Yarrowia lipolytica: one gene and its partners. The protein of the gene in region 1 interacts with the protein of each later gene in a pairwise test. Links are inferred from orthologs where the notes say so. Each region holds a gene or a part of one and is shown on either strand. Other genes may lie near its edges.

What was found.
Region 2: the proteins of YALI1_C24460g (region 1) and YALI1_A21345g interact in binary tests that used the Saccharomyces cerevisiae proteins (3 or more experiments, as listed by UniProt). The link is inferred for Yarrowia lipolytica from reciprocal best matches to the Saccharomyces cerevisiae genes ESF1 and HCA4.
Region 3: the proteins of YALI1_C24460g (region 1) and YALI1_B05520g interact in binary tests that used the Saccharomyces cerevisiae proteins (3 or more experiments, as listed by UniProt). The link is inferred for Yarrowia lipolytica from reciprocal best matches to the Saccharomyces cerevisiae genes ESF1 and ESF2.

The regions. Positions count from the first base shown.
Region 1 is NC_090772.1:2,442,717-2,453,056, forward strand, and holds YALI1_C24460g (uncharacterized protein), read left to right. Parts: upstream 1-3,324; coding exon 3,325-5,205; downstream 5,206-10,340. Other genes in the region: YALI1_C24434g (uncharacterized protein), read left to right, coding at 702-2,519; YALI1_C24488g (uncharacterized protein), read left to right, coding at 6,151-7,752; YALI1_C24526g (uncharacterized protein), read right to left, coding at 8,514-9,893; YALI1_C24531g (uncharacterized protein), read right to left, coding at 10,190-10,340. UniProt on the Saccharomyces cerevisiae protein: Involved in the 18S rRNA synthesis. Required for the early cleavages at sites A0, A1 and A2.
Region 2 is NC_090770.1:2,127,371-2,137,981, forward strand, and holds YALI1_A21345g (uncharacterized protein), read right to left. Parts: upstream 7,074-10,611; coding exon 4,842-7,073; downstream 1-4,841. Other genes in the region: YALI1_A21283g (uncharacterized protein), read left to right, coding at 913-3,000; YALI1_A21311g (uncharacterized protein), read left to right, coding at 3,707-4,366; YALI1_A21372g (uncharacterized protein), read left to right, coding at 9,792-10,611. UniProt on the Saccharomyces cerevisiae protein: ATP-dependent RNA helicase required for ribosome biogenesis. Involved in the release of U14 snoRNA in pre-ribosomal complexes. Required for pre-rRNA cleavage at site A2.
Region 3 is NC_090771.1:547,539-556,791, reverse strand, and holds YALI1_B05520g (uncharacterized protein), read left to right. Parts: upstream 1-4,762; coding exon 4,763-5,737; downstream 5,738-9,253. Other genes in the region: YALI1_B05571g (uncharacterized protein), read left to right, coding at 1-2,611; YALI1_B05522g (uncharacterized protein), read right to left, coding at 2,817-4,547; YALI1_B05497g (uncharacterized protein), read right to left, coding at 6,599-7,048; YALI1_B05483g (uncharacterized protein), read left to right, coding at 8,425-9,253. UniProt on the Saccharomyces cerevisiae protein: Involved in the small subunit (SSU) processome assembly and function, and in the 18S rRNA synthesis. Required for the early cleavages at sites A0, A1 and A2. Stimulates DBP8 RNA helicase ATPase activity.

The DNA of each region.
Region 1 (10,340 bases):
CAATTTTTCCACCATAGGAGCTTTTTTTGACCCATTTCCCCCTCCTTTTTCCTTTTTCCCTCCTTTTTTCTTTTTCCCTCCTTTTTCCTTTTTTCCCTCCTTTTTCTTCTCTTTTAAATGCCATTGGACTATGCACTTGTAGCCCAATGACGTCATTGGATGATCATAGTCGGATTCTCAACAAACCACCAATGGACCGTTTTCGACCACCTTCATATTATCTAGTCACATGACCACCACAGATCTCATAATACATCACGTGACCGCATCCCATGGCTATTTCCTCGCTGCTGTCTGTTCGCCCAGGTGCCGATTATTGGCTCAAGGATGTCCGGGGGTTGGAACGGAGGCACGTCAGAGACGCAGGTGGGGTACTTTTGGAAATAGGTATAATCGGACTGAATAGTGAAGATATGGGCGTAAAAAGCACATTTTTGGACTCCTCGAACTCTGGAGATTCGAATGGTATCATTTATGTATCTTTTAAAGGCCCCGCTAACAAAGTCTACGCCGGTCCTGTCAGCCGCATCATCATGCATCTCATGGGTGCATCCATAACATGCCAAGATGTGTTTGTATAAATGTGGAGGCTACTTGTAGAACATAAAGGACAAATAAAACCAACAAAAACACATAATTTTTGACATCTGTTCATTTCCAACAACCACGAGTACCGCACCACCGACCAATTGACCGCCGCCATGTCGACCCAACAAATGCTGATCATGTTTGACACCAAGGCTAACTGCAACAAGTTCTACCATGCCAAACTTCTGGACGATCTGGACACGGTGGAGGTTCGGTATGGGCGAGTTGGCAACGAAGGAGTCAAGCACACGTATGTTGGTGGGCAGCGCAAATACGACCAGATGCTACGGCAGAAGCGCAACAAGGGCTACAAGGACGCGTTGATTGCCGCGGATGTGGAGGATGATGGTGGGGTGACGGTGCGCAGTAATGTGATTGACACTGCTCTGGAGGAGATCAAGTATCTCGACGACATGAGTCGGGTTCTGGTGACGACGATTTCGCAGCAAAACATCCATCGTATCACCGCTTCGACTTCGATCAAGTTTGACTCGGACGACGGTCTGTTCAAGACTCCTCTGGGGGTCATTCAGCAGCATGGAGTCGAGGAAGCTATCCGGCTGCTGGGCGAGATTGAGACCCATGTTGTCAATTTCGAGGCCCTGGTGGCCAAGGAGGGCGTCTCTTTTGACACTCCGGTTGCCAAGAAGGGTCCTAAGAAGCGCAAGAGGGCTGATGAGGAGGTGCAACAAGGACCGATTGGTACCCCTGAGGATGGAGTCAAGCCCGAAGGTGAAGGTGAAGGTGAAGGTGAAGGTGAAGTAGTAGCTGAAACCAAGACTGAACCTGAACCCGAACCCGAACCTGAACCTGAACCTGCTGAACCCTCATCTCCCCCCTCCAAACGACGCCGAACAAGAGCCCGTGCTACCAAGACCAAGGCCCAGAGAGACGCCGAGGAAGCCGCCCAGAGAGAGGCGGAGGAGCAAGCTGAAAAGGCAGAAAGAGCCCGGAAGGCGGCCGAACGAAAAGCCAAGGCAGCTGAGAAGAAGGCAGCCGAGAAGGCAACCAAAGAAGCCATCGAAAAGGCAGCAGCCGAAAATGAACCCGCCGAAGAAGAACCAAACGCCGCCGTGAAACCCTCTGCCGAGCTGGAAGTCATCATGTCCACTTTGTACACCCTCAACGAGCAGTACTTTGTCATCATCCCCAACAAGGTGAAAAACGCCCGCGAAATCAGACACCTGCTGTTCAACCAGACCGCCATTGACGAGCAAAAGGCCACCTGTGACGCTCTGCTGGAAACCCTTAAACTGATTGAAGACCTCAAAAAGAAGGCAGCCGAGGAATCGGAAAAGAAACCCACCAAGAAGAAGACGGACGCCGAAAAGACCTTCAACGTCGAGGTCAAGCACGTGACCGACAAACGCAGCTTCAACAGAATCAACACCATGTTTGAATCGTCGAAAAACCAGATCCACGGCTACACTGCCAAATGTGCAAAGGTAAAGAACATCTACAAGATCAAGTTGGGTTCCCAACAGGCCCCTTTTGCCGCCACCTCCAAGAAAATCAAGTGCGTGCAGGAACTGTGGCACGGAACCCGTCTCCAGAACATTCTGTCTATTCTGGGAAAGGGCCTGCTTCTTCCTAAACTGTCTCCGGGTCAAAAGGTGGGTGCCATGTTTGGGGACGGTCTGTATTTCGCCAACCAGTCGTCCAAATCGCTCAATTACTGCGACGGCATGCTCTGGACCTCAGATGGAAGCGGAAAACCAGAGACCATCTACATGTTTCTGGCGTCGGTGGCTCTGGGAAACTACTTTACACCCGAGGGGCCTGTCAGTACCAACCCCCCCGAAGGTTACCACAGTTATTGGGCCAAGGCTGGTCAAAGCGGAGTCATGAACGACGAGATTATTGTGTTTGACGCGTCTCAAATCCGACTCGATTACTTGCTTGAGATTGAATTGAGAGCTAGCGACGAGTAACTACAGTGTATTGATGAAATTACAAGTACAAATGAGCTGAGAGAAAGCACCAGTATTGCAACCCTGTCATCCACTCACAAAAGACGTAGATAGTTTGGTTTCTCAGACGAGTTGCGGGACTCGGAGTGTGAATCAGCAAGGGAAACAGACCCAACTTGCTCCTGGGTCGTAGTAATCACCTTCTTGTCGGTCTCATGAACTCCGTTGTTGCTAGCAATAGAAGCAGTTGCTTTGGAGGGCTTTTCGCTTTCGTCCTGACGTTCCATCATAAAATGAGGCCCCGAAAACAGCAACGGAGCCCTACTTATAGTAAGCTGGTTTATGGCACTTGCTACTCCCGTTCTAAACTCAAGATTCAAAGCCCAACTATCCACTTCTCTCAACCCTAGGAGAACACCAAGATGCACTTTATGGTACCAAAATGATGCTGGGGATCTCCTGGTCGTGGCTGTGCTACTATCCTATATTTCATCCATACAAATTTTGCCACTTTGAGAGTCCGGCATTAGTGTGACTCCAATCGGCGCGGAATGCGAGCATCGGGGACCGGGGAAAAGGGGAAAAAGGAAGCTGTTCGAGTCTGGACCTGATTGGACCACAGACGGCTCTGCGACCTCCACCCTTCATTATCTGCTACATGCACTGCACTTGTCTGGCCAATTCTCGCCATAGCGAGGACATGATGCAGAAGTCCAAAGTCTAACTATAAAAAATTCGACTATCTGCACAATCTGAAATTTTCAAGTTTCATTTTTCAATTTTCATTTGCAAATCAGCTATCGTCACCATATCACCAGAGAGCGAAATGCCACCCAAGGGAAACAAGGAGAGAAAGACCGTGAGCGACGACCCGCGATTTGCGGGAGTGCATTCGGACCCGCGGTTCTACATGCCGCGAAAGAAGGACATGAAGGTGACAGTGGACTCGCGGTTCAAGAAGGAGCTGCTCCACAACAAGGACTTTCACAAGGGCGCCAAGGTCGACAAGTATGGTCGAAAGCTGGAGCAGCAGGACGCGCAGCTGCAGCGGCTGTATAACCTGAGCGACGATGAGGAGGAGTCCGGTGAAGAGGGAGACTCCGAGGAGCCCGAGACCAAGGCTCAGAAGAAGCCTCTGTCTGCTTTGGACCGAGCGCGGGGAGAAGGAGTCGATTCTGACGCCTCTTCGGGCGACGATTCAGACTCGGACGACGACTCGGACTCGGACTCGGAGGTGGAGATGGAGGAAGAGGTGGTGCTGGCGGACTCGCAGGACATTGCCACCGGCGACGAGAGCACCACTCTTGCGGCGGTCAATTTGGACTGGGATCACGTGCGGTCGGTCGACCTGATGGCCACCTTTTCTGGCTTCATCCCCCCTAAGGGCGAGATCAAGTCTGTGGCCATTTATCCCAGTGAATACGGCAAGGAGAAGATGGCCGAGGAGGAGCTCAATGGACCGGACGCGCAGCTGTTTGAGGAGAAGAAGAAGCGGGCTGGCGACTCGGACGACGACTCGGACGACGACGAAAAAATCAAACAGGAGTTGCTCAACAACGACGACGGCGAGGAAATCAACTCCAAGAGCTTCCGAAAGTACCAGTTGCAGCGAATGCGGTACTACTACGCGGTTATTGTGTGTTCGGATGTCGCCACGGCCCGAAACATCTATCAGAACTGCGACGGGACCGAGTACGAGTCGACCGCCAACTTTTTCGACTTGCGATACGTGCCTTCGGACATGACTTTTGACGACGAGCCTCGAGACAAGTGCACACGGGTTCCCACCAACTACAAGCCGTCTGATTTCGAGACTGCCGCTCTTCAGCACTCCAAGGTGAAGCTCACGTGGGATGAGACTCCGGCCGAACGAAAGAACGTGACTCTGCGGGCGTTCAACAAGAAGGAAATGGATAATGAGGAGCTCAAGGCCTACCTAGCATCCGACAGCGAGTCTGACGAGGAGGGGCGGGCCGATCTCAAGGCAAAGTACCAGAGCTTGTTGGAGGGCACCGGCATCAACAAGGGCGAGGACGAGGATGGAGAGGAGGATGTGGATATGGAAATCACCTTCACCCCCGGACTGGACGAGTCCAAGAAGAGTGCTGCTGAGCCCAAGGAGGAGGGTGAGGAAACCACGCTGGAGAAGTACAAGCGAAAGGAGAAGGAGAGACGAACGGCCCGAATCCAAAAGTGGCAGGAATCCAAGGAGGCCAAGGAGGATGAGGAGCATGAGAAGGAGGCCAAGAAGCCCAAGAACAAGGGCAAGAAGGAGCGGGAAAAGAAAAAGAAGGAGATGGAGCAGTTAGCGTTGCTGGTGGACGAGGAGACCGACGCCAAGCACTTTGATATGAAGGAGATCATCAAGGCCGAGAAAAACGCCAAGAAGAAGTCCAAGTACAGACAGCAGGGTCTTGTGGAGGACAAGTTCGAGATGCCGGTCGACGATCCTCGATTTTCGGCTCTTTACGACGACCACGAGTTTGCCATTGATCCGTCCAAGCCTGGATTCACTCGAACCAAGGCCATGGACAAGCTGCTAGATGAGCGCCGAAAGCGGCAGGACCGAGGTCAGGGAGGTGTCAAGCGAAAGGGCGAATCTGGAGAGCCTGCCAAGAAGAAGAAGCGAAAGGGAGACCAGACCGGCGAGGGTGTGGAGAGTCTGGTTGAGCGAATCAAGCGAAAGCACCAAAAGGATAACCAGTAGGGGGACTAAACCAAGCAGTTAGGTGATTGTTGCGGTTGGTATATAGATAATGGAGGTAAGATATTGGTGGTACGGTACATACAGTAGTAGTAGTAGTAGTACATATTACTACACTACAGTACAGTACTTTAGGCAATCTGACAGTGGGTAAACCGTTGTGGTAATTTTTCCCGCCGCCGAGTCACCATGACTCCGTGGATACATTTCGACTGATAGATGTAGAGTTTCGGCCCGACAGGAGTCACAGCCGTCGGGATGGGTTCAAGGTCTCAGTTTTTCATCATCAAAACAGTTGTTCCAGTCAAACTGCCGGCATAGAACTCTTCCATGTACCTCAGACGAAAAAAAAAAAAAAAGCTCCCTCTAGCGACTTCTGGTGACCGTTTGGATGCAGCCATTTCGGGCTAGGTTAGCGCTAACAAGGGGGAGGACAGGAGGACAATAGTAGGGGAGTATCGGTGTAATGAGACGTAGAATGTAGTTGAAATGACGGGCAAGTACTTGAAAGTGCATTCACTTTTCGAAATCACTGGTCCTCAACTTGTATCCAAACTGGTGGATCCAAACTGGTGGATCCAAACTGGTATTTAATCTGCGTCTTATCAGCGATGGACATAAGAAGGAGGTGTTGAATGGAAACTAGTGGTTTTCACCCGAGGTGGAGAAGAAAAGGACCAGATTTTTATAATCATCGAAAGAAATCTCGAGCTCATCTTTTGGCCCGATTTGGCCCGATTTGGCCCGATTTTGGCCCGAACCTGCTGTTATTTCAGCCCTTGAATGTCTCACATGGCATACAAGGTCTTTTTTGGGAAGCAAGATAAGACCCTGCGGCCATGATAGCGGATCAATGGAGTTAAAAAAGTCGATCTAGCCCTACTTGTTGGTATATATACCCTGGACGCGCTGCGGGGTCGCCATTGCACGAAAAAAGACTCCACGAAAATGTCGCACGAACCGCCGGGAACCACCATCTTGGAAAACCATGCTTCCGATGCTATCATTCTCCAGCCCACTCCGACAGCCGATCCCAACGAGCCGCTCAACTGGTCCAAGTGGAGAAAACACACAAACTTGTTCATTGTCTGTTTCTTTACGCTCATGGCGTTCACCGCCAACTGTGTATCGACGGTTTTCTGGACGCCTCAAAATCAGGAGTTGGGATGGACTCTGGACCAGCAGAACAACGGATACGCGCTGTCGGTGGCGGGTCTGGGTCTGGGATGTCCACTAATGATCCCGTTTGCGGAAAAGTTTGGAAAACGGCCCGTTTATTTGGTATCTTCGGCGATAGCTCTAGCATGTGCGGCTTGGATGGCCAAAATGACGACCGTGGGCGAGTTGTACGGCTCCAGCTTGCTCCAAGGTATGGCCACCAGTGTCACTGAGACCATAATTCAAATGACGGTGGCCGATCTCTACTTTGTGCACCAAAGAGGCACCTGTAACGGCATCTACATGGTGGTGGTGGACGTTGGCAACTTTCTCATCATGGTGCCGGCGGGATATATCACCATGAGTCTGGGGTGGAGATGGGTCTACGGAATCATTGCTGTCATAACCGGAGCCCAGTTTCTTTCCACGTTGCTCTTCTTTGAAGAAACAAAATACACAGCCGGAACAGAGACCCTGGTGGGGGTCGGAGAAGACGAAGAAGACAGGCCAGAGGAGAATCTGAGCAACAAGGACGCAAAAGACATAGTCCGCAACTTGGAGTCTCCTTCGACGGAGTCTGTCATCATGGATTTCTCCGATTCAGCCTCCTCCAGAAACGCCTACCAGTACCAGAAGAACCCTCTGTCCAAACGCCTGGCTCTGGTCACCTATACCCCAGGAAGCTGGAGAGAATTTGGTCGGAAAATGTACACCCCGTTTATAACGCTGTTTGCCTACCCAATCGTCACCTTTGTGGCCATCCAATACGGCTTCATGCTCACGTGGTTGGCCATGGCAGCTACTACGGTGGCATCTGCGTTTGCCGAACCTCCCTACAGCTTTTCCTCCGCCGCCCTGGGAAACATCAACATTGCTCCCTTCATTGGAATGGCACTAGGGTCTGTCTACGGAGGCTGGTTCAACGACAAGACAATCATTTGGCTGTCCAGACGCAACGGAGGGCAGTACGAACCCGAAATGCGACTGTATGGGCTGATTCCTGCAAACCTGACTCTCACAATCGGACTGTTTCTGTTTGGACTTCCCATTGCCCACGGGGTCCACTGGATGGTGCCCACTCTCGGATTCGCCATCATCATGTTCGGATTCGGCTCTTCCGGAGCCATTGTACTGACATATCTGCTGGACAGCTACAAAAACATTGTTGCTGATGCATTTATCGGTGTGATTGTGGTCAGAAACGTGTTTGGAATGATAATGGTGTTTGCCCAGACGCCCTGGATCGAAAAAGTCGGTCTTCAGAACGTCTACATCACCGTGGGATGCATTTCTCTGGTCCCTCTAGCCCTGACCGTTCCTCTTATCTACCACGGCAAACATCTGAGACGAAAAAGTGAAGCTAGGTACCTGAGAGAATCCACTAGACGTTAGAGACTACGACAGGTTGACGCTTTATTTATTCAATTATATATTCACTTGAGCAGCCCAACACACCAAATTAGACCAAGAAGTTATCCAGTTGGCTATAAAACTATCAAAATTTCATTAGAATACTCCAAATACCAAAAACACCCAAATTAGCCGGGTTTTGCCGTTTTTTTGCCGTTTTTTCCGGTTTTTTCGCCGGTTCAAAGTTCCATAACTGCCCTCACAATGTCCCACCAATCCCGGAATACATCCATGGCATCCTGGCCGAGCGGTTAAGGCGAGAGATTAGAAATCTCTTGGGGTTTCCCCGCGTAGGTTCGAATCCTGCGGATGTCGCCATTTCATTTTTTTACATCCTCTTGTATCAGCTCCGTAACGAGTTTTACTTTCGATTTTTATTCATTTATATTCTTTTTTATGACTAAGCAAACTTATGGTGCTGTAGGTCTAGCTTTTCGAAAAACCCATCGCCAAAATTGCCTGGCTAGCTCAATCGGTAGAGCGTGAGACTCTTATTCCAAGGTCATCTCAAGGCTGTGGGTTCAAGCCCCACGTCGGGCTTGTTTTTGGACCATATTTTTCCCGGCTTAGTCATATGGCGTAGAATGGACCTGGGTCCTCGATTTTTACACTGTAGAAACTTGAGAGGAACAGACGAATCCTCCAAAGCTATTTTTGTTGATTATTAAGCCACACACGACTCATTAACAAAATAGCCCGTCTGAATCGGAGTCTCCTCATGTCTCTGTGCTTGCTATTATACATTACTCAACGTAGTTGGGTCTTTCGGCGTCGTTGTCGTCATGCCTCAAGTCTTTGGAGTCCAATTTCCGCTTCTTCCTGGCCGCCGTTCGCTTCATCTCGAAAATCAGACCCGAAACTCGACGGTTTGTGATTGCTTCGTTCCCTCGCTGTTTCAGAACTTGTGCAATCTGAGTAGGGGTCATTCCCTGCTCAGTAGACTCCTTGATGTACTGTCGTTCTTCGGAAGAAAGACGCCGATGAACCATCACGCTCCACTTGGAGTCCGCTGGAGCATGATTATGGCCGGTGACATTGTCTTGATAGGGCGCATGACGCAGGTGCCAAACGCCGTCAACGTCTTTGTAAACGTTGACCTTGACGGGACACTCCGTTCCAACACAGGGACGAAGCTTGGTGGGCTTTCTGTACCGACTGCAAGCGTAGGTGATGGTCTCTGTGGGAGTTCCGCCAGAATCAGCACCCGATTTGCTGGTGTTGGTGTCCTTTTTGACCCATCCAAAGTAAAATGGCACTCCATCAGACTTGTAATTAAGACTAAAGTCGTTGAGATACCTTTCAAGATCCTCACGATGGCGAAACGACCTTTTAGCAGGCAAGTAGTCTGGGCAGTATTGTGGATCCAGCTGTAGAATGCGTTTTTCAATGTCGTAGATCAGATTCCGTTGGTCCCGTGATAACTGGTCAATCGGACATAAGCTGTGATTGTGGACAGACAAGTTCCTGGTCTGATTGACCGTCCAGTTGGTATCTCCATGTTTGGTCACACTGATGTTGTATCCACAAGCCTGGCCATCTTCACCGGAGCGGCAGCAAACAAAGCGCAGATACTGCTTGTTGTTCTTCTTTTTGCCACCTATAGACTTGTACCTGAAGACAAAACCGTCCTTTTTTGCCCAGTCGTTGATCATTTTCCACAGGTGCAGCTTGGAGTTTTGAACAGTGCCTGGAGGCAAGTTTTCGTCCTCGAAGTCTGGGTTTTTCTTTTGTCGACCTCTCTCTACTTTATCAATGAGTGCCGAAACCCCCTCGGTCACATCTGAGCCGTCCGTCTTGTGATTGTGTTCGTTCCGGCTGCTGGAGTCGTACACCAAATCAGCCCTGCCTCCTCCATAGTCGCGGATATCCACCTTGTACGTGCAATCGGGCCGACAACAGCGCATGATTTTGCGCACGAACGGGTCCGAGCCATTGTTGCTGCCTCTGGAGCGGTACAGCGCAAACACAAACCCCTGGTCGATGGAAAACCGGTTCAGAGCACCCCAGACGTTGGCGAACGATGTGCCGGTCGTAATGGATGGGATCAACGGCGGCAGAAGCGGCGGATGCGACGCTGCGGCCTCGATTTCTGCCACGTGTGTTTCGGGGTCGATTCCCGCCATTTTTTGACCCACTTTGACCAATGTCGCAAGATGGCGATTGGTGTCGTAACGCAAGGGAGAAACGTACCAATGGGCCGTCTCACTGGATAAACGACGTCGTGAAAAGATTACGCAAAAGTTTAATTGTTTCACTCTTTTTTTTTTTTTTTTTTTTTTTTTTTCTTTTTTTTCCTTGTTGCGAAAAAGTGACGGTCGTGCAATAAATACCAGAGCTAGAGAGTGGAAATGGGGACAATCCCGGGAGTACTTTGCCAAACTGGTGATTCACCAATCATATGTCCTAATCGGTCTTCTGATCAGCTCGTGTTCCATGAGGTCCTGTTGATGAGGCTGGCCACCAAAGAACAAAGTGCTCGGCGTGAAAACTGATCTGACTGCAGGGATCCTGCCTCATGGAATTGGGGCAGTTTCACCAGACTGAGTAAGTGAACTTGAGACAATGGTTGG
Region 2 (10,611 bases), on another chromosome or scaffold:
ATGTACGTACAGTACTTTTATCGCATCTACTTGTATAATTTTCCTATCAATCTTTTTGTTTGAAGTTCAGTTATATCTCAACTAAAGCCTATCTAGAAAAGTAACTATGAACCCAAACTTTGTTCACGTGTTCTTCTGCCAATCTCTTCTTGAGGATAACACAACGACTCGAGCAGCTATGAGAAAATTAATCACAAAACTGCACTTACCTTTCTCTGAGGATTCGAGTGATAACAGATTTTCGCCGAAATACAGAGTTTCCCACACAGTGCGTCGGATTTTACAGATTTCCACAAAAGAAACGGCCACTTGGCCCAGTTGGTTAAGGCGTCGTGCTAATAAGAATAGCAGCTATGCAACGCGAAGATCAGCAGTTCGATCCTGCTAGGGACCAAGTTTTTTTCATAATGAAAGTACAGTGCTGGACTCATCCTTAGTTGATGACATTCCGACATGAAAGACCCACCCAATCGCCGTTATACCGTGCAGTTTTGGCGTTGGTCACGTTTCGACTTTTGGGTCTAACTGAAATGAAGATGGTGTTTTTTTACGAGCTAAACCCTACTGTACCAGTAGGGTGAAGATTGGAGGCCGTGAGATTGAATTACGAGACACTGCTCTCGTATTTCTGCTTGCCTGGGTCTATCTTTTTGTTCTCATTGTAGCGACAACATTCTTTCGGGCCCAAGGCCTTTATGACCCCCCCCCCCCTTTTCTCACCGTGCCGTCCCCTCTAACGCACGCGATACCCCCACGTGCTGTTATGCTTCAACCAATAGCAGGCACGTTACTTAGCATGATATCGAGGGTGCAGCCCACCTGTAGAGTCTGGTGATAAGGTTCTCGGTTAGATCAGTTGAAATACCACACGGCTTCGACTTTTTTCTGGGTTCAACTAAGTCCACATTCATCATGTCATACAAGAAGATTGGCGGCGAGGACCTGGAGCTCAACAACATTGACAGTCGCAATTACGACTCTCCCGAGGCTCCTCCAAACGACCTGGACGACCTGGCAGACCTGGACGACTTTGAGCATGATCACGAGGACGATTACAGTGTGGACGATGATCGTGCAGATATCGGAGAAGGGCTTTTGGGAGGCAAAAAGAGCACAGGAAAGCAACGACAGTTTCGACGGAAACCAAAGATCAGTCTCAAGCTGGGGTTGGTTATTGCGTTCGTGATCGTTGTCCTGATTGTGGGCTTTGTCATCCGATACCTCAAGACCAGTAAGGGATGGTCTTCAGATGTGGATTCTCTAGGACGAAGACTGCAACCATGGCAGAGAAACACTCTGGACGAGTACAATCTCAGTAAGAACGGATTGTGGAATTCGTCTAGTGAACCCCAGACCAGAGAGTACTTCTGGACAATCTCCGACATTGTCGGAGCCCCAGACGGAGTCCAGAGAAAGATGACTGTTATCAATGGCAAGTTCCCCGGTCCTCTAATTGAAGCCAACGAGGGAGACAGAATAATCGTGCATGTTAAGAATGAGGGAGCTGATCCTACCGGTATGCATTTCCATGGTATGTTCCAAAAGGGTACCAACTTCATGGACGGAGTTCTCGGAGTCACCCAGTGTGGAATTATGCCTGGACACGAATTCACTTACAACTTTACACTTGATGGCCAGTACGGAACTTACTGGTACCACTCTCACTGGGACCTTCAGGCTATTGACGGTGTGGCTGGACCTCTTGTGATTCACTCCCCCAAGGAAGATGAAGCCTACAAGCATCTGTACGACGAGGAAATGGTTTTGTTTGTGAACGACTGGTACCACGAGATGGGTCGAGAATACATGCCTGGATATCTTTTTCCCAACGGTGAAAATGACGAACCTGTTCCTCAGGCTGGTCTGATTCAGGGCATGGGCGAGTTTGACTGCTCCAAGTACACTGACCGAGAGTGCCAGCAGCTGCAGAAGCAGATTATTCCTGTGGAGGAGAATAAGACGTACCGAATCCGAATCATCAACGCTGGTGCCATGAGTGAGATTGACTTTTCCATCGACCAGCATAAGTTCGATCTCATTGAGGTGGAAGGATTCTCCGTGGAACCCTACGAACTGCAGGCAGCACGTGTGGCCAACGCTCAACGATACTCATTCTTGGTGAAGACAGATAAGCGAGAAATTGATGAACAGTTCTGGCTGCGAACCGAGTTCAACCCTCATTGCTACGCCGAAATGAACGATGAGCTCGATATCAACGTCAGAGCCATTTTCTCATACCCCAGCCACACGGAGAAAGTCAAGAAGCTGATTGCAAAGGGGGATCCCAATTACCTGGTTGCCCACGGAGATCCTCAAGATGTCAAGTGGAAGGACTTTGATGGAACCGTCGAGTGTTTGGAGCTCAATACCACCATGTTGACGCCTAAATACAATGACCCCATTCCTGGACGTGGAGACTTTGTCGAGCTTCATGCTGCTTTCCATAGACAGCAGGGAGCCATCAAGCGAGGAGTCTTCAATGCCACCACCTGGAACCCCGCCAAGGAGGCCACCCTGTCTCAGTTTTTGCGTGAGAAACCCTTGGAGATGTTTGCCGATGGACCTTCCAAGCACTGGGGTCCTGACCAGCTGACCGTGACTGTCAACTCCACCAGAACCATTGATCTGGTCATCAACAACCTCGATGACGGAGCTCATCCCTTCCACCTTCACGGTCACAAATTCTGGATTCTCGACTCGGGCAACTCCTACTTCAATTTTGGAAGATATGACAACATTCCTGACAGAGGACAAGTTATGAGAGACACTCTTCAGGTGGACGGATACGGCTGGGTTCTGATTCGGTTTGTGATCGACAACCCCGGAATCTGGGCGTTCCATTGCCATTTTGCCTGGCACATGGAGGCAGGTCTCAGTATGCAGTTTTTGGCACTACCTGAAGAGCTCATGGAGATGCAGCCACCGTCTGGCTGGAATGACATGTGTAAGGCAGCATTAGAGGAGGAAAAAGAGGGCCAAAAGGAGGGACAAACTAACTAAAAAAGATTGCTATAGAGAACGCGGGGTAATATATATATATATATATATATTAATTTACTAAAGACTGTACATATCTACAACTTCTCAGTGCCTATTAATACGGATGATCGGGACTTTGGGGATGCAGGTGGGTCCGGGTGAGACTAAGTAATTTTCCCGACATTATGTACAGTCGGATATCTCTATTTACACTATCTGAGGTGTTGTGTTTTACAGTACGAGTATGTCCCTAATTTCTTCATACAAGGGTGCAGAGGGCATGCGGCTGACTATAATAAATTTGCCACTGAGCCGCCGTTCCTTTTAGTCCAAACAAAACCACAGCCCGCTCCATACCCATTAATTCGGCTCTCACCGTATAGCTACGCACTTTGCCGCATGACGGTGGCAATTTCTATACGAAAATAACTTGATTTTCGCGCATGAGAGGCACATGTACGAAGCACCGTTTTTTCCGTTTGTCGGACTTAGGCCCGACCGAGCCTTAGGGTTAGGGTTGCAGGCCTTGCAATTGGATGTGTCAACACTAGCTCAAGCAGTTAAAAGCCGCGGAAAAGAAACACGTTTGGGTCCGCTCCAGTCACGTGGAATCAAATTTCCTACAGCATCATAACACACAATGGGTGAGTAATCTTTTGTTCACAATCTTATCGACAGACCAACAAGAACACAACCACAGCCAGTCATCGACACACAACCAAGGCACATGACTAACCTAGGTACATCTCTATGGCTCCAGCCTCCTAGGAACTCGCCAATTTGGCAGCAGCTTGCCACTACAATCCAGGGCCTGAAGCCCATCTTTTCAGACTCGGAAAACTTCGAGCCTCACATTACACTTACTTCCAACATTTCCGTCAACACCCAAGGCCAGGTCGACTTTGTGTTAGATCGAGCAGTTGCCGCAGCCAAATGCGTGCCCCAGGGCTTCCAGATTCACCTGTCGTCCGTCAAGTACGGATCGCGGTTCTTCAAGAAGGTCTATCTCCAGGTCGAGCCCACTCCAGAGCTCCTTTCACTCGCCCGAATATGCCGCGAGGACTTTGTGTACATGCCCGAGGCCATGTCACAGGCACGCAACTACCAGGCCATGTCTGCGGAGGAAAGACAAAAAATTGACACCCAAGTGGGCCAGCGGGCTGCCGAGTGGACCAGAAACGAGTACGACCCTCATGTGTCTCTGGTGTACTCTGATCTGTACCCCGTTGAAGACGCAGACCGGCGAACCATTGAGACGAGACTGGAGGACACTTTCGGATCCGGATACGACGAGAGCGGTCTTGGATGGAAAAATGGACGTTTCGCGCTGGTGCGGTGCGAAGGACCTGTGGACGAGTGGGAAGTGCTTGGTGTTCGGGACTTTTAAGGGGTTACGAACTTATTGTTTGGAATGACGTCACATAATAGTCAGCACAATTAAGCACCATCGAGCCTGCTGCTTGTTCACAGTTCTCTAGCAATACTGTGCCATATAGAATGCCAGTGCAAGTCCACATCGTGTGGTTTGGCTGGCCCTTAATGAATTAATGTCTTATGTTTCTGAAAAGGGTGGTGTACATCGTACAACTGTGGACGTAACTCATGGCGTCACTCCCAAGGCCAGAGAGTGTATGGATGGACAGGATTCAGTATCGTAGGGATAATATATTATCAGTCTTTCTATAAACTGGTGCAATGTATTGTTGCTGTGGCGTTGTGTGTTCATGTTGTTCAGCGTTATATCTCACTGGCTCGACAGAAGTTCTCTATACTTTCTTCTTGCATCTACAGTACAAAACCGCCTTCCATGCTAAATTCTATCATTACAGTATATATACATTATGTTGTAGTCTAGTGTCCACTTACTTTTTAAGCAGCTTGGAAGTGAGGCTCTCCAGATCCTCCAGAGTGGTGGGCTCCTCAACCTCCAGCACGCCATCATCCTCCTCCTCGTCCGAAGACTCATCCCGCTGGAACCACTTGGGCTTCTTGGCGGCCTGTTCCTCCTCGGAGTCTCCCTCTTCCTCGGACTCCTCGTCATACTCGTCGAGTTCTCGAAGTCGCTCGATCTCCTTTCGCTTTCGCTTCTTCTCAGCTCGCTTCTGCTTGACCAGCTCCTTGTCACCGACATCAGCTTCCTCCATATCCTTGGTTTCTCGGTCAACAAATTCCTTGACCTGGCTCTCGACGGGTCCTGCAGCCTTGAAATCCTCCTCGTCATCAAACTCGTAGAGAGCATGTGGCGCTCCCTCGTCGTCAAATAGTGTCTTGGTTCCCAGACCCTTGTTTTTGAGCGACTGCTTCTTGGATAATGCCTGCTTGGCTGCTCGCTTAGAAGTGGGCAGGTTGGCGACATCCTCGTCATCATCAGACTCAAGGTTGTGGTCCTGACGCTTGACCGTCATAAAATCTCCAGTCTCCTCATCCTCGTCGGCGTCTCCCTTGACCATGTTGAGATAATGGTCCGACAGGACGTTCTGGTTCTTCCTCTCAAACATTCTGTCCATCTTAGTTCGTACTTCCTTCTCATCGTCAGACACCACTCCGTCATCGCCGGCCCGCATGAGCTTCTGCAGAGCCCGCGACTGGTTCTTCTTGGCGTTGGCTTCTTCCTTCATCTTCTCAGCACTCTTTCCGAGCTTGATCTGTGGTGCACCAGGCAGACCCAGAGACTCCGCAAAGGCCTCGCTGGGGATCTTTTCAAACTGGAAAATCTCCTTGTCCTTCTGGATGAAAATCGACTTGTAGTACGAAATGAAGGCCTTCTGACCCAGGTACTTGATTTCCGGCGACTTGAAACACAGAGCCTGCAGCTGGTTCTTGATGGACTTCTTCTTGTTCGGTCGGATCGTCAGTTTGTTGATGGGGATATGCTTGGCTTCGAGCCGCTGGATCATGGCGGGCTCCTCAGTGGGGGTCAGGAACAGCAGTGCCTTTCCAGACTTTCCAAATCGTGCACTTCGGCCGACTCGATGGATATAGGTAGCGGCATCTTCGGGGCAATCGACCTGAACAACCCAGTGAACAGCCGGGAAGTCGATACCTCGAGCGACGATATCGGTAGCAAACAGACACGAAGAAGAGGCCTTGGAGAATTTGGAAACAACATCCATTCGTGCTCCTTGTTTCTGCTTGCCATGCAAATGCAACAGGGGGATACCGGGCTGCAGAGTTCGGAAGGTCTCGTAGACGTATCGCACCTGTTTTGATGAACTGAAGAAAACGATGATCTTGAACTTGGTGTGTGTTCTCAGGAAACCCCACAGTGTGTCCAGCTTGTCTTGCAGCTCCACGCAGACATAGTTCTGTTCGAGGTTCTTGGGTGTGCTGGAAGTGGTGTCCGGGTTGGCGGAGATGTACTTGGGGTCGGCGAGTGACAAACGGGCCAGATCACTGACGCTCTTGGTCTGTGTTGCGCTGAAAAGCAGAGTCTGTCTGTCCACAGGCAGGTTTTCCAAAATGGCATCCATGGTCTTCTTGAAACCCATATCGAGGATTCGATCGGCCTCGTCCAGCACCAGCATCTTCACGTTAGAAAGATCAAACCCGCTAGTTTGGTCCATGTGTTGTAACAGTCGTCCGGGTGTACAAATGAGAATGTTCAGCTTGGCCAGTCGGTCAGCCTCCATGGCAACGTCCTTTCCTCCAATAACCAAACCAGCAGAGAAGCTGTGACAACGGCCGATTTTTCGCAGAACCTGGAAAATCTGGACCGCCAGTTCTCGAGTCGGACTAATAACCAGGGCTCCTAAACCATCCACATCACTCCACTTGTTTCGAAACAGGCACTCCAACACAGGCACCAGAAACGCCAGAGTCTTACCACTTCCGGTACGCGCTGCTCCAAGCAGATCGTGGCCTTGCAGAGCGGGAGGGATGGCCCGCTTCTGAACATCGGTACAGGTGACATAATGTGAATTTTTTAGACCCTCAATAGTAGCCTCAGACAAGGGCAGCTCCTCAAACTTGGACACCTCCTTGTCGGCCTCGTCCTCTCCAAAGTTGTCGACGCGCTCCTGCAGCTTGGAGAGCTTCTGTTTGTGTTCCTCTCGTTTGATTTTACGAGGATCGGCTCGTTTCTTCATTTTCGCCATATCTCAAGCTGTCGGATAAATTTCTTGGACAAAAAAATCTAACTTTTCGTGCGCCTTCACTTTTATCAGTCTGAAAATTACACATGCATGCAGCTTGGAGTATGGAGGCGACAGAGGTGCATGCCAGAGTGCATGAATTAGGGCAACGGGGGTGTGAAGAAGGGCGCAAAAGATGTGACGACGGTGCAAGACGACGGTATACTGCAGACAAGGTCTTTCACTGCAAAACTCCTGGTTAAATCGTGGGTCCCGCGTCTCCGTATCATATGACTTTGGGTCACGTGACTGCAAGATTTTTAAGGTTTCGAACTCCCAAATTGAGTCACGTGTCGTCTCTCTGCAACATGAGGTATCGTAAATTAGGAATGACTCGACCTGACAGGCCATCAAGGACCCTGATGCAACTCTGAAATTAGAGGGAGGAGGTAATGAGAAACAGTGCTGGATTGTGGTGAGACATTGAAGCGGGATTGGTTAACCTGTTTCTTTTTTGTCGTTTGCTCTTCATTATTGCGATTTTTGTAGTCATTTGATTAGATCAGATCAGCAGTCCCCTCATGCTGTCGTTGATGGGCGCGTAATCAGTGTAACGCTTTGAATGAGGATGGTGGTGAGTAATACTTGGTTTTCATTGGGGGGGGGGGGGGGGGGGGGGGGGGGTACCTGTTACTCGAAAAACAAATCATATGCATCTCTGAACGTGCCGGGGTGTGGCATGTTTCTCGCTTCGAAAAATAAATGTTGGCTGTTCCAGGCTTGTCTCAGACCTGCAAGAATCATACTGGCGTAATCTCCGCCAGGTCTGGTCAGGAACAAGAGAGTAAAAGAAATGTTTGAGTCTCGGCTTTCACATCCTCGGCACTAGATAAGCAGCAATATCAATGTCACATTGCTTGCTTGTGCAGGTCAGGGGGAGGGGGATGTATATGATACAAGCAGGTTCGCATCTACAGAATCTACAGTATGTATCTGATGATAGCCTTACACAGCGCACGCAGATGTAGTTTTTGGGTTGAACAGTGTCAGCGGAAGCGGCGTAGTGGGGTACTGTAGTACAGAATCAACGGAATGAAGTTTACAACTGCTTCTGTTACTGTAGCCTTTCACTGTTCAAATGATAACGTTGGAGAAGAGTGCACCCTCTGTTAGATAGGATTACAGTCCAGACACACATTGGCACCGAAGTCTGTAGTCAAACATTGGTCTCAGTTGGTGTAATGACATTCAATAGACTGATTCTGCAACTCCTACACCTTGCATTGTACACCCGAGACCCCTTGTACGGCCCGCATTTCTCCTTCACATGTCGGCATGTGTCTTGTCTGTAGCCACTTCAATGGGATGCAGTATTAGCACTGTCGGACACACCTCAGTCAATGGGAATGGAATGCCATGCTCCTAGCGGCTCATTGTTTGCTAGGAAATACAGTTAATAGCACAGATCATACAGATCATAGAGTCTAGGCTCTATACGTCTTAGAACAACCATTATTTGTTTAAACGACAACTTGGTAAGCGAATTACAGTAAGTAGCTATTGTTTCTATCTCTGTCAGTGTTCGGATAAGTCCTTAGATCACCATACTCAAAGTGGTACGTTTCGTCGCATCGGACGAGAAGTGTGTCTATCACCGTTTCTTTTTGCCGCTCTCATTTTTGCGGTCGGAATAATTACTGTGGACCCTCGGCGCCGACCGTTTTGCAGGGCTCATCAACCTAAAACTTCTCCGAGTCTGTGCCTTCAGGTGGGCATAGTTGATGGGTGTTTTGAAGTTAATAGTGGGGAAGAACTATGGCAAACAAGCAGATGCAGGCACCTTGTAACTGCAGACCGGTTCTTGTCTACCGACTCCGCTGCACCTGTGCCGCGGTACATGTCGTCACAGGCTGCGGGGTTCGGAGGCCCCCTTGCAACCTCCTTTGATAGTTGCTATGGCCCCAAAGAGTTATACGAGATAGACCCACAGATCTACTTGACTGTTGTCACAGAACCTGCTAGGTTTGCTTATTGTACCCGCTTTGTAGCTACTGTACAACGACAACGTCAAAAATTGAGACGCGAACAAACTCCAGATGCAGAACCCAAACCTCTCTCTCAGAGTTTCGAGTGCTTCTACCTCACAGTAAAGTGGAGGTGGACCTGCAAGGGAATTCAGTCACAAGGCCCCGAATGTCTCCGAAACTCCAATCGGACCGTTTAAACAGACTAATATCACGTCATTGATTGATATTAGCATCCGGCAAGAGCCGCAAGGTTATCTCCTCACCAATGAGCCTGTTGTACGGCTCATTCCGCATCTGCGGCTGATTCAGTTTCGAGTGGGGATGGTAGACTTCATTGCAGCATTCCTAACCTTCTACTTGGTCCGTGGAGATGTCATGGACATCGATTTTGGGCTGAGAAGCCTTTTGACGATGTCGATATCACTGACCGCTAATTTACTCTGGCAGTTTCTCCGGCTCTCGAGGCATCGTCGATCACCAAACACTATCTGCTAGTCTAAATGTCCGACACGACAGCTTTTGATCGCCGTGAACGGCGCAGACCTCATGCACCATGCACCAGGGCCAAATCAATTACGGGTCGCTTAGCGTTGCAGTCGGGGCATTATGGTGGAAGTTCCGATACGGCACAGACACATTCCATAGTGGGGGGATTGGATTATAAAAGGGCCATAGAAAGCCCTCAATTGATACCCAAGTACCAGCTCCCCTCACTATGAAGCTTTCCACCATCCTCTTCACAGCCTGCGCTACCCTGGCTGCCGCCCTCCCTTCCCCCATCACTCCTTCTGAGGCCGCAGTTCTCCAGAAGCGAGTGTACACCTCTACCGAGACCTCTCACATTGACCAGGAGTCCTACAACTTCTTTGAGAAGTACGCCCGACTCGCAAACATTGGATATTGTGTTGGTCCCGGCACTAAGATCTTCAAGCCCTTCAACTGTGGCCTGCAATGTGCCCACTTCCCCAACGTTGAGCTCATCGAGGAGTTCCACGACCCCCGTCTCATCTTTGATGTTTCTGGTTACCTCGCTGTTGATCATGCCTCCAAGCAGATCTACCTTGTTATTCGAGGAACCCACTCTCTGGAGGACGTCATAACCGACATCCGAATCATGCAGGCTCCTCTGACGAACTTTGATCTTGCTGCTAACATCTCTTCTACTGCTACTTGTGATGACTGTCTTGTCCACAATGGCTTCATCCAGTCCTACAACAACACCTACAATCAGATCGGCCCCAAGCTCGACTCTGTGATTGAGCAGTATCCCGACTACCAGATTGCTGTCACCGGTCACTCTCTCGGAGGAGCTGCAGCCCTTCTGTTCGGAATCAACCTCAAGGTTAACGGCCACGATCCCCTCGTTGTTACTCTTGGTCAGCCCATTGTCGGTAACGCTGGCTTTGCTAACTGGGTCGATAAACTCTTCTTTGGCCAGGAGAACCCCGATGTCTCCAAGGTGTCCAAAGACCGAAAGCTCTACCGAATCACCCACCGAGGAGATATCGTCCCTCAAGTGCCCTTCTGGGACGGTT
Region 3 (9,253 bases), on another chromosome or scaffold:
TGTGGGACGAGACTCGTACCACCACACCTTCTTCGAGATGCTGGGCAACTGGTCGTTTGGCGACTACTTCAAGGCCGAGGCGTGCGCTTGGGCCTGGGAGCTGCTGACCCAGGTCTACGGCCTGGACGCCGACAGACTCTACGTGTCCTACTTTGGCGGCGACGACAAGCTCGGTCTGCAGCCCGATCTTGAGGCCAAACAGATCTGGATGGATCTGGGAGTCGCCGAGGACCACATTCTGCCCGGAGACTCTGCTGATAACTTTTGGGAGATGGGAGATCAGGGCCCCTGTGGCCCCTGCTCCGAGATCCACTACGATCGAATCGGAGGTGGACGAAACGCCCGAGATCTCGTCAACATGGACGACCCCAACGTTTTGGAGATCTGGAACATTGTGTTCATCCAGTACAACCGAGAGGCCGACAAGTCGCTCAAGCCTCTGCCTGCCAAGCACATCGACACCGGAATGGGCTTCGAGCGACTCGTGTCTGTACTGCAGGACAAGAGCTCCAACTACGACACCGACGTGTTCACCCCCATCTTCGCCAAGATCCAGGAGCTGACCGGAGCCCGAGACTACGCTGGCAAGTTTGGCGCCGAGGACGCTGACGGTATTGATACTGCCTACCGAGTTGTTGCCGACCACGTTCGAACCCTGACTTTTGCTCTGGCCGACGGAGGAGTGCCCAACAACGACGGACGAGGTTACGTTCTGCGACGAATTCTGCGACGAGGTGCGCGATTCGTCCGAAAGAAGTTTGACGTGCCCATTGGTTCCTTCTTCTCCCAGCTGGCTCCCACTCTGATCGAGCAGGTCAACGAGATCTTCCCCGAGCTGAGCAAGCGAACGGAGGACATTTTCGAGATTCTCAACGACGAGGAGCAGTCCTTCTCTCGAACCCTCGACCGAGGAGAGAAGCTGTTTGAGCAATACGCTGCCGACGCCAAGGCCAACAGCAAGACTGTTCTCGCCGGTAAGGACGTCTGGAGACTTTACGACACCTACGGCTTCCCCGTAGACCTCACCCGAATCATGGCCGAGGAGGCTGGACTCGACATTGACGAGGCTGCCTTCGACAAGGCCAAGCAGGAGTCCCTGGAGGCCTCCAAGGGCGGCAAGAAGACCGCTGGAGGCGTTCAGCTTGTCAAGCTTGACGTTCACGCTCTTGCCGAGCTGGAGAAGAACGACGCTGTCCCCAAGACCGACGACCAGGCAAAGTTCACGGAGTCCAACCTCTCGGACGCCAAGGTTGTCGCCATCTACAACGGCACCGGCTTTGTGGACTCTGTCGACGAGTCTGCCGGCCAGGTCGGTCTGCTGCTCGACAAGACATGCATGTACGCCGAGTCTGGAGGCCAGGAGTACGACACTGGTAAGATTGTCATTGACGGCCAGACCGAGTTTGACGTCAACAACGTCCAGGTGTACGCTGGCTACGTTCTGCACACTGGAAACTTCAACTATGGTTCTCTCAAGATTGGCGACGTTGTCAACGTTGGCTTTGATACTGCCCGACGAACTCCCCTCAAGAACAACCACACTGGTACCCACGTTCTGAACTACGCTCTCAAGGAGACTCTTGGAGACACAATTGACCAGAAGGGATCTCTTGTTGCTTCCGAGAAGCTGCGATTCGACTTCTCGCACAAGGCTGGTCTCACCCCCGCCGAGGTGGCCAAGGTTGAGGATATTTCCAACGCCTACATCACCAAGAACCTCGCCGTGTACGCCAAGTCCGTCGATCTCACTACAGCCAAGAAGATCAACGGTGTGCGAGCCGTCTTCGGCGAGACCTACCCCGATCCCGTCCGAGTGGTGTCTGTCGGTGTCCCCGTTGAGGACCTGATTGCCAATCCCGACGACGCCAAGTGGGCCGAGTACTCGGTCGAGTTCTGCGGAGGAACCCACGTTGGTAAAACCGGCGAGATCAAGCACCTCGTCATCATTGAGGAGTCTGGTATCGCCAAGGGTATCCGACGAATTGTCGCTGTGACCGGCAAGGAGGCTGCTGATGTGCAGAAGCTTGCTGCCGAGTTTGACGAGCGACTCGACAAGCTGGCTGCCCAGCCTCTTGGTGCTGACAAGGAGCAGGCCGCCAAGGCCATTGGTGTCGAGCTCAAGAAGCTGTCTGTGTCCACCACCTCCAAGCTGGCTCTGCAGGAAAAGTTCAACAAGATCCAGAAGACCATCACCGACGGAATCAAGGCCAAGCTCAAGGCTGAGTCCAAGGCCTCCACTGATCTGGTTTCCTCGTACTTTGAGAAGAACCCCGAGGCCACCTACCTGGTTGCCCATGTTCCCGACATTTCCGCCAACTCCAAGGCTCTGTCTGAGACCATCAACCACGTCAAGTCCAAGCTGCCTGGCAAGTCTGTCTACCTGTTTGCTGGCTCCCCCGCCGAGGGCAAGGTTGCCCACGCTTGTTTCATCGATGAGTCTGTGTCCAACAAGGGTCTGACTGCCCAGCAGATGGGCGCCATTGCCGCCGGTCTTGTAGGTGGCCGATCTGGAGGAAAGGGTCCTACCATCCAGGGCTCCGGAGACAATGCCGACAAGATTGCCGACGCCGTGTCCGAGCTGGAGAAGGAGATTACCAAGTTGGGTTTGTAAAAAGGAGCAGAGTTCCATGTTATTGAATGAATGAAGGAGGATTATTACTCCATTAGATGATAGAGATGAGCGACACTTTGTGGTGGAAATAGTTCTAAAACTGTAGATTTTTGTTTTCCAATAGTCGTCATTCCATCAGATCATGTCTTCATTATATCTCGTTATGTCATTTATCTAAATGAATGGTGGTTGGTCTATAGCTGACTCAAAACACATCCCTAGCCGCCTCCCTAACTCCAAACGACGACGTGCCATTGGAGCTGTTCTTACTCACTGTAGGTCTTTCGGCCAGCTCCTTCTCAATTTCATCAGCCAGGGCGGCATCCTCCTCCGCAATATCCTGGATGAAGACGTAATTCTGGCCACGCGAATAGTACTTCAAAGTCACGTCTCTGGTATTGTTGGTCATGGAAAAGTCCCTGAGCACCGACGAGTCGACCAGCACGTACTTAGTGCTAGTTCCAGGACACTCATAATTGGCATTGAGACAAATCTTCTCCATGACAGCATGCAGACCCCGAGCTCCCAGACCTTCGGAAAGCGCAGTCTTAGCGATGATGCGTAAAGCAGGCTTGGTGAAGACAATACGGGTGCCAAATGACTTGAACTTGACTCGGAACTGCTCCACAAGAGCGTTCTTGGGCTCAATCAGAATTCGCAATAGATCCTCCTCGGTCAGATGATTCAATTTGACAATCGTTGGAGCCCGTCCAAGCAACTCGGGAATGAGACCATACTTTTTCAAGTCTTCAGAAGTGATCAAATCCAGAGCATTGGCGGTTTCGCCGTTAGCAAGAGTCACCAGCTTGTCCTGACTGTCCTTTTGCTTGCCCTCATCCTCACCAGTCTGCCTGACATGGGCACCAAAGCCGATATCGGAAGAAGTATTGCATCTAGCTGACACCACGTCACTCAAACCAACAAAGGCACCCATGAGAATAAACAGAATGTTCTGCGTGTTGATTGTGACGCTCTCCTTGGGCATGGCCGAACCTCCTCCCGGAAGACCAGCGGTGGTTTGGGCTCTTCCTGGGGTTCCAGAAATCTGTACAAGAGTGCCTTCCAGCATTTTCAACAGCGATTGCTGTACTCCTTCGCCAGAGACATCTCTTCCAGATCCTTCCCGTTTGGCCAGTTTATCGATCTCGTCCAGAACGATGATACCATGCTCACACCTCTCTACATCGCCTCCACAGACCTGGTACAGCTGCTGAACACACGATTGAACGTCGTCCCCCACGTATCCGGCTTGGGTGAGCGCAGTGCAGTCTGAAATGGAAATTGGCAACGACAAAAAACTTGCCAGAGTCTTTGCCATCATTGTCTTGCCTGATCCAGAAGGACCTACCACCAGCAAGTTGGCCTTGTCCGGAATCACCTGACTTTCTGTCTCCTCATCGTACTCCTCCTTGAGCACGTTGATGTAGTCTGTCGACTGTGGTTCGTCGGTGTTTTCCCAGCGGTCCGAGATTTTGCCCTTGGCGGCGTTGATGCGTTTCATGTAGTCGCTCCATTGTCGTTCGTCAATCAGGAGGCCGCTTCGGAGGTAGTGGTTATAGATCGCCACCGCAAACACCTTCTTGGACCGGTCCTGGCCCACTATGAACTGGTTGAGCTTGGCCAGCAGCTTCCGGGGCGTCATATCCGGCGCCACCGCACGTCGAGGAGGCTCTCCTCCAGGAGGCCCCGTCGACTGTGTTTCTTCATTGAGAGCCGCTGTGGGCACGGTGCGCTGTTTACGTGCCTCGGCGAGTGTCGGGTCAGTGTTCTTGGGCTCCGTGTCGCTCTTGACCGTCCGCTTCCGCCGTTTCTTGGGCTCCTCCACATCTTCATAGGGCCCCTTGGTGGTGGTGTATGACTGTGGCTGTAGAGTGTGGAAGGACACGCAGTGTTGTTTCTGTGTCACCACGACACGTGTCAGTAGTCGGAGGCTCATGCTCGGTGGTTTCTGGGTGGTGATAGCGTCTCTATATGACTCTGGTTACCCCACAGAATCTGCATATGACTATTACGATACTCTCATATCCGATGTTAGATGAGGTAAGATGGGGTTAGGGTTGAGTTCCTTGATTGGAAGTAAATGCAGGTGGGAAATATATTTTCGTGCAGCGACCAGAACAACTATCAGCTACAAGTATACGACTCTTTCAAATGGCTCGAGCAAAAGCCGTGGATTTTTTCAGCACGAAAAACAACTCCAGCGACAGCGAGGAGGAGGAGGACAAGCCGGCGGTCGACCCGCGGTTTGTGCTGGCCGACTCTGATAGCGAGGGAGAAGAGGAACAGGAGGATGGAGACGAGGATGAAGAAGAGAAGGGCCGAACCTCCAAGAAGAAGACCAAAGACTTTTTTGAGCTAGCTGGAAAGACTGACGACGGCGACGATGAGGAAGAGGACGAAGAAGATGAAGAGGAGGAGGAGGAGGAGAAAGAGAAGAAGCCCGTCAAGACTAGTTCTACCAAGGCCAAGACCAAGCCTATGACCAAGGAGGAGATTGAGAAACACAACAAGAAGATCGCCAAGACCGGTGTCGTCTACTTCTCGCGAATTCCGCCGCTCATGGACCCCGGCAAGCTGCGAATGCTGCTCCAGCGGTTCGGAATCGTCGACAGAATCTACCTGGTTCCCGAGGACCCCAAAGCGCAGGCGGTACGAATCAGACATGGTGGAAACAGAGCTCTGGCATACACTGAGGGCTGGGCTGAGTTCACTAAGAAGCGGTACGCCAAGACGTGTGCCAGCACGCTCAACGGCAACACGATTGGAGGAAAGAAGGGCTCGCAGCATTACGACGATATCATGAACGCCAAATACCTTCCCAAGTTCAAGTGGAGCGATCTTTCTGAGCAGCTGGCCCAGGAGACTCACAACCGACAGGCCCGTCTGCGAACCGAAATCTCCCAGGCCACCCGAGAGAACCAGACCTATATCCAGTCGCTGGAGAAGTCCAAGGCTGCCGAGCGACGACGACAGAGACAGGAGGAAGAGGGCGGCGAGACGGAGGAAAAGCCGGCAAAGAAGGTGCATCGAGACTTTTACCAGGGCAAGACCCACAGTGCGAGAGCAAAGGAGGGCAAGAAGGAGTTGGATGGAAGCGTGGGAAGCATTTTGGGCAGTGTCATGTAATAGAACTTATTCAAATGTCGAATGGGAAACACATGAAAGGGGAGCACGGATATTGGGCAAGATTATGTGTCACACTCGCCTTTTCGTTTTGGTAATGAGACCCTTCCTTCTACCAACACTCGATCATATCCCTCATATGAGTCCGAGTACGCTGCATGACACTGGATACTGAGGGACACCTATTGCCAACATCTACGCCCAGCTGAATAGGTAGTAGATATTTGTATACATATATAATGATATGGTTGTTTTCTGTACCGTCGAATCTGCAGTAATATCCCAACTAAAATTCAGAATTTACTTGGATCCCATAAGTATTGAGGGTGGCACAATACACTCCCTATCTCTCTCAATAATAGTCAGAGGATGAGAAAATCCAAATTGTGGCATTATATAATCAGTGCAAGTACAATAGATACAAAAAAATCAGTATATATATTCATGCTTACCACTTTTTGAGGACCTATACTAACGAGGTCAGAATGTTAAATCTTTTTGAAGAAGCCGCACACGATCAATTGTCGAGCCTCTGAAGGCTCCATCACCACGCAAGAACCATCAAAGGAACAATGGTGGAGAATGACGCTACTTTTTTTGACATGATTTGATAGCTCTCGACGAGACAAATACAATGGGCAACTCTGTATCTTCGCTGCTGTGTTCTTCTTTGTTTTAGGCGCCGAAAACGATCACCGAAATCGCTTGCCGATTCCTTTTACATACGGTACCGGTTCATCTACAATATGTCGTCAATTCTACTAAAGAAATGTCAACTCAATCATAAATAATGACATTAGCTATCGGGCTCTATCGTTGCCCAACATTAGTTGTTGGTGGTGTTTGGCGTCTCCGTCCGCGCGCTTAGGCGTCAGACTGGTAGACCCAGTCGTTGAGACCGTACTTGTTTCGAGCAATTTCAATGGCCAGGAACTGCATTCGAGGCACAAACATGGTGTTGGTCTCAGTGTAGCCCTTGGAAGCATCAACTCGCAGAATGGTGCCAAAGTTGTAGTCGGCAATGATGTTCTCGTACGTGTTCATGAATTCTCTCCACTTGGGCTTGTTGGTGGGCGACTTCATGTCGTTCTCGTCCAGCACTCGCACCTTCTCGTGATCCAGGTACTCGGGGAACACTGTGATGAGATGGGTCATGATCTGGTCGTCGATCTTGGTGAGCTTGAGCTCCGAGCCCTTGACGGCGTGGAGCAGCTTCCAGTACGTCTCCAGGTGGTGCACCGCCTTGACGGCAAACTGCTTTTCGATGTCCTCGAGGTTCTCGGCCTCTTCGGGGTTGAAGTTGTTGACTGACATGTTGTGTGTGTTGTTGTGTGTAGATGAATAAAATGCAATTAGTACTTTTTTTTTTTGGACCAAGCGATTTCAACTTCTTTATATTTTTTTCTGCCTTTGGACAGAGTAAGGTTCAGGCGAGACTGAAAGACAATCGAGAGTGTTCTGGAGAAGCCTAGAATGGGACGTGGACGACTCTCGAAGACCGCGGAAAACCATGGAAGCATTCCTCGACATCAACTTGGTCACGTGAACCAACCCCACCCCTCCTCTCCGTTCTGCTCCCCTGAATAGACCCCTCCTCCCGGCTCCCTCAATGTCTGGAAAGTCCCAGAACTTTTTCTTCCCTATCGCAACTCTAACAGGGGCGAGATTTGTGTAGGCGGAATAGAGGAGTTTACCGTGATTCTGTGGTCAATTGTAGCATATAAGTATGTACAAATGTGTTCCCCTTGATAAGGCGGTTCAAAATACGTTTTCAGATTTCAAATACGCCCATTATTGACCGAGATATACTGCCATTCTCACTCAACGCCGCCGCCTGACACACAGTGAAACTTAAGAGAGGAGCTTACGGGTCTGTCAAGGCATCATCGAGCGGAGAAGAGGATCCGAATAGACCTCTCTCGTCTACTGCCACGGAGGGTTTGGGCTTGCTTAGTAATAATTCGGAAGGATCAGTTTCTACCGGAATCGCTCGTCAGGTGGGGGGTGGGGGGGGGTTGCTTAGTAAGCATTCTGGCGGTGGAGATACAGCTACAAGTATCTGTAAGGTGATTCTGTTCAAACGATACCAAGCGCAACCAAACGATGAACGATTCCATATAACGTCAGTGTTTGGTTGTATTTGGTGGCACTTTTGGTGTGGTTCTGATGGTCTTTTATATATATACCTCCAATTGAGTTCTGACGTCATAGTGGGGAGAGCAAGTGACTGAAAAATGCAGACTGATATTGCTGAATAATTTTTCTTGTGAAATTTGTGACTAATCAGAAACTTGGATCAGTTCAAGAAAAATGAGCGATTTGGCCACAGGCTTTCTCGCTAGATTCTGTCTTTGGTCGTAGCTGGTACCACGAGCATTTCTTCACTGGAGTATTGCACTCTCCGTCCCACCAACAGCCAATCAAAGAGAGGGCGAGGCAGCCGCAGTATCGTGTTACGCTTGTGAGCAGATGGTTAGTAATACATGAGTGGGCAGGACATGGTGCTCGGCACGGTGGTAATGCAAGAGCGCAAATGACCGCCGCGCGCAGACTGTGCGCAGACCGCTGGCGCTAATATCGACTCAACTTTTTATTAGTCACGGTTCATGTCTCCGTCGACCAACCACCCCACTCCCAACCCCGCGCTATATTAGACAAAGCAGAGTAGGCGCGACTCAGTCTAACATATCATGCTTCGAGCGACCCAGATTCTGCACCAAACAAGCCGAATAATGCCAATTCCGTCCTCCACACGCCTGCTACAAACGTCGGCCGCGCTCATCATCGGCGACGAGGTGCTGAATGGAAAAATCTCAGACACAAACTCCAAGTTTTTTGCCCGCTACTGCTTCGCTCTGGGCCTGGATCTACAGAAAGTGGAGGTGGTTCCCGACGATGAAAAGGACATTGTGGAGTCGATCCAGCGACTGGCTTCGCGTTACGACTTCATTGTCACCTCCGGCGGCATCGGACCAACCCACGATGACATCACTTACGAGGCTATCGCCAAGGCCTTCGATATGGGGGTCGAACAGCACCCTGCAACGGTGGACCGAATGACTCGTCTGAGTAGACGAAAGATCGACTTCTCAGACACGGAAGCACGAACGGCTCAGCTGAGAATGGCCTCTTTCCCTGTCCCTCGTCCCCAGGGAGCTACCACAGCTCTCCCCGAGCTCCCCAACACGGTGGACATCACCTACGTTGCCGAGGACCTGTGGGTGCCCATTGTAACGGTGGCTGGCAAGGTAAACATTCTCCCTGGTGTGCCCAGTCTCTTCACCCGGCTGCTGGAGGGAATCAAGCCCGATCTGGAGAAGAAGGTGGACACGGCCCGACAGCAGATCCGTTTCTTTGTCATGACCGATCTGCCCGAGAGTGTCATGGCCCCTTACTTGCGACGTCTGCAAGAAAAGGTCAATGAGAAGGACATCAAGATCGGCTCGTACCCGCACATGGAGCTCAAGAAAAACACCGTGTCTATCATTGGCCGAAAGGGAGACGTGGAGTACCTCAAGG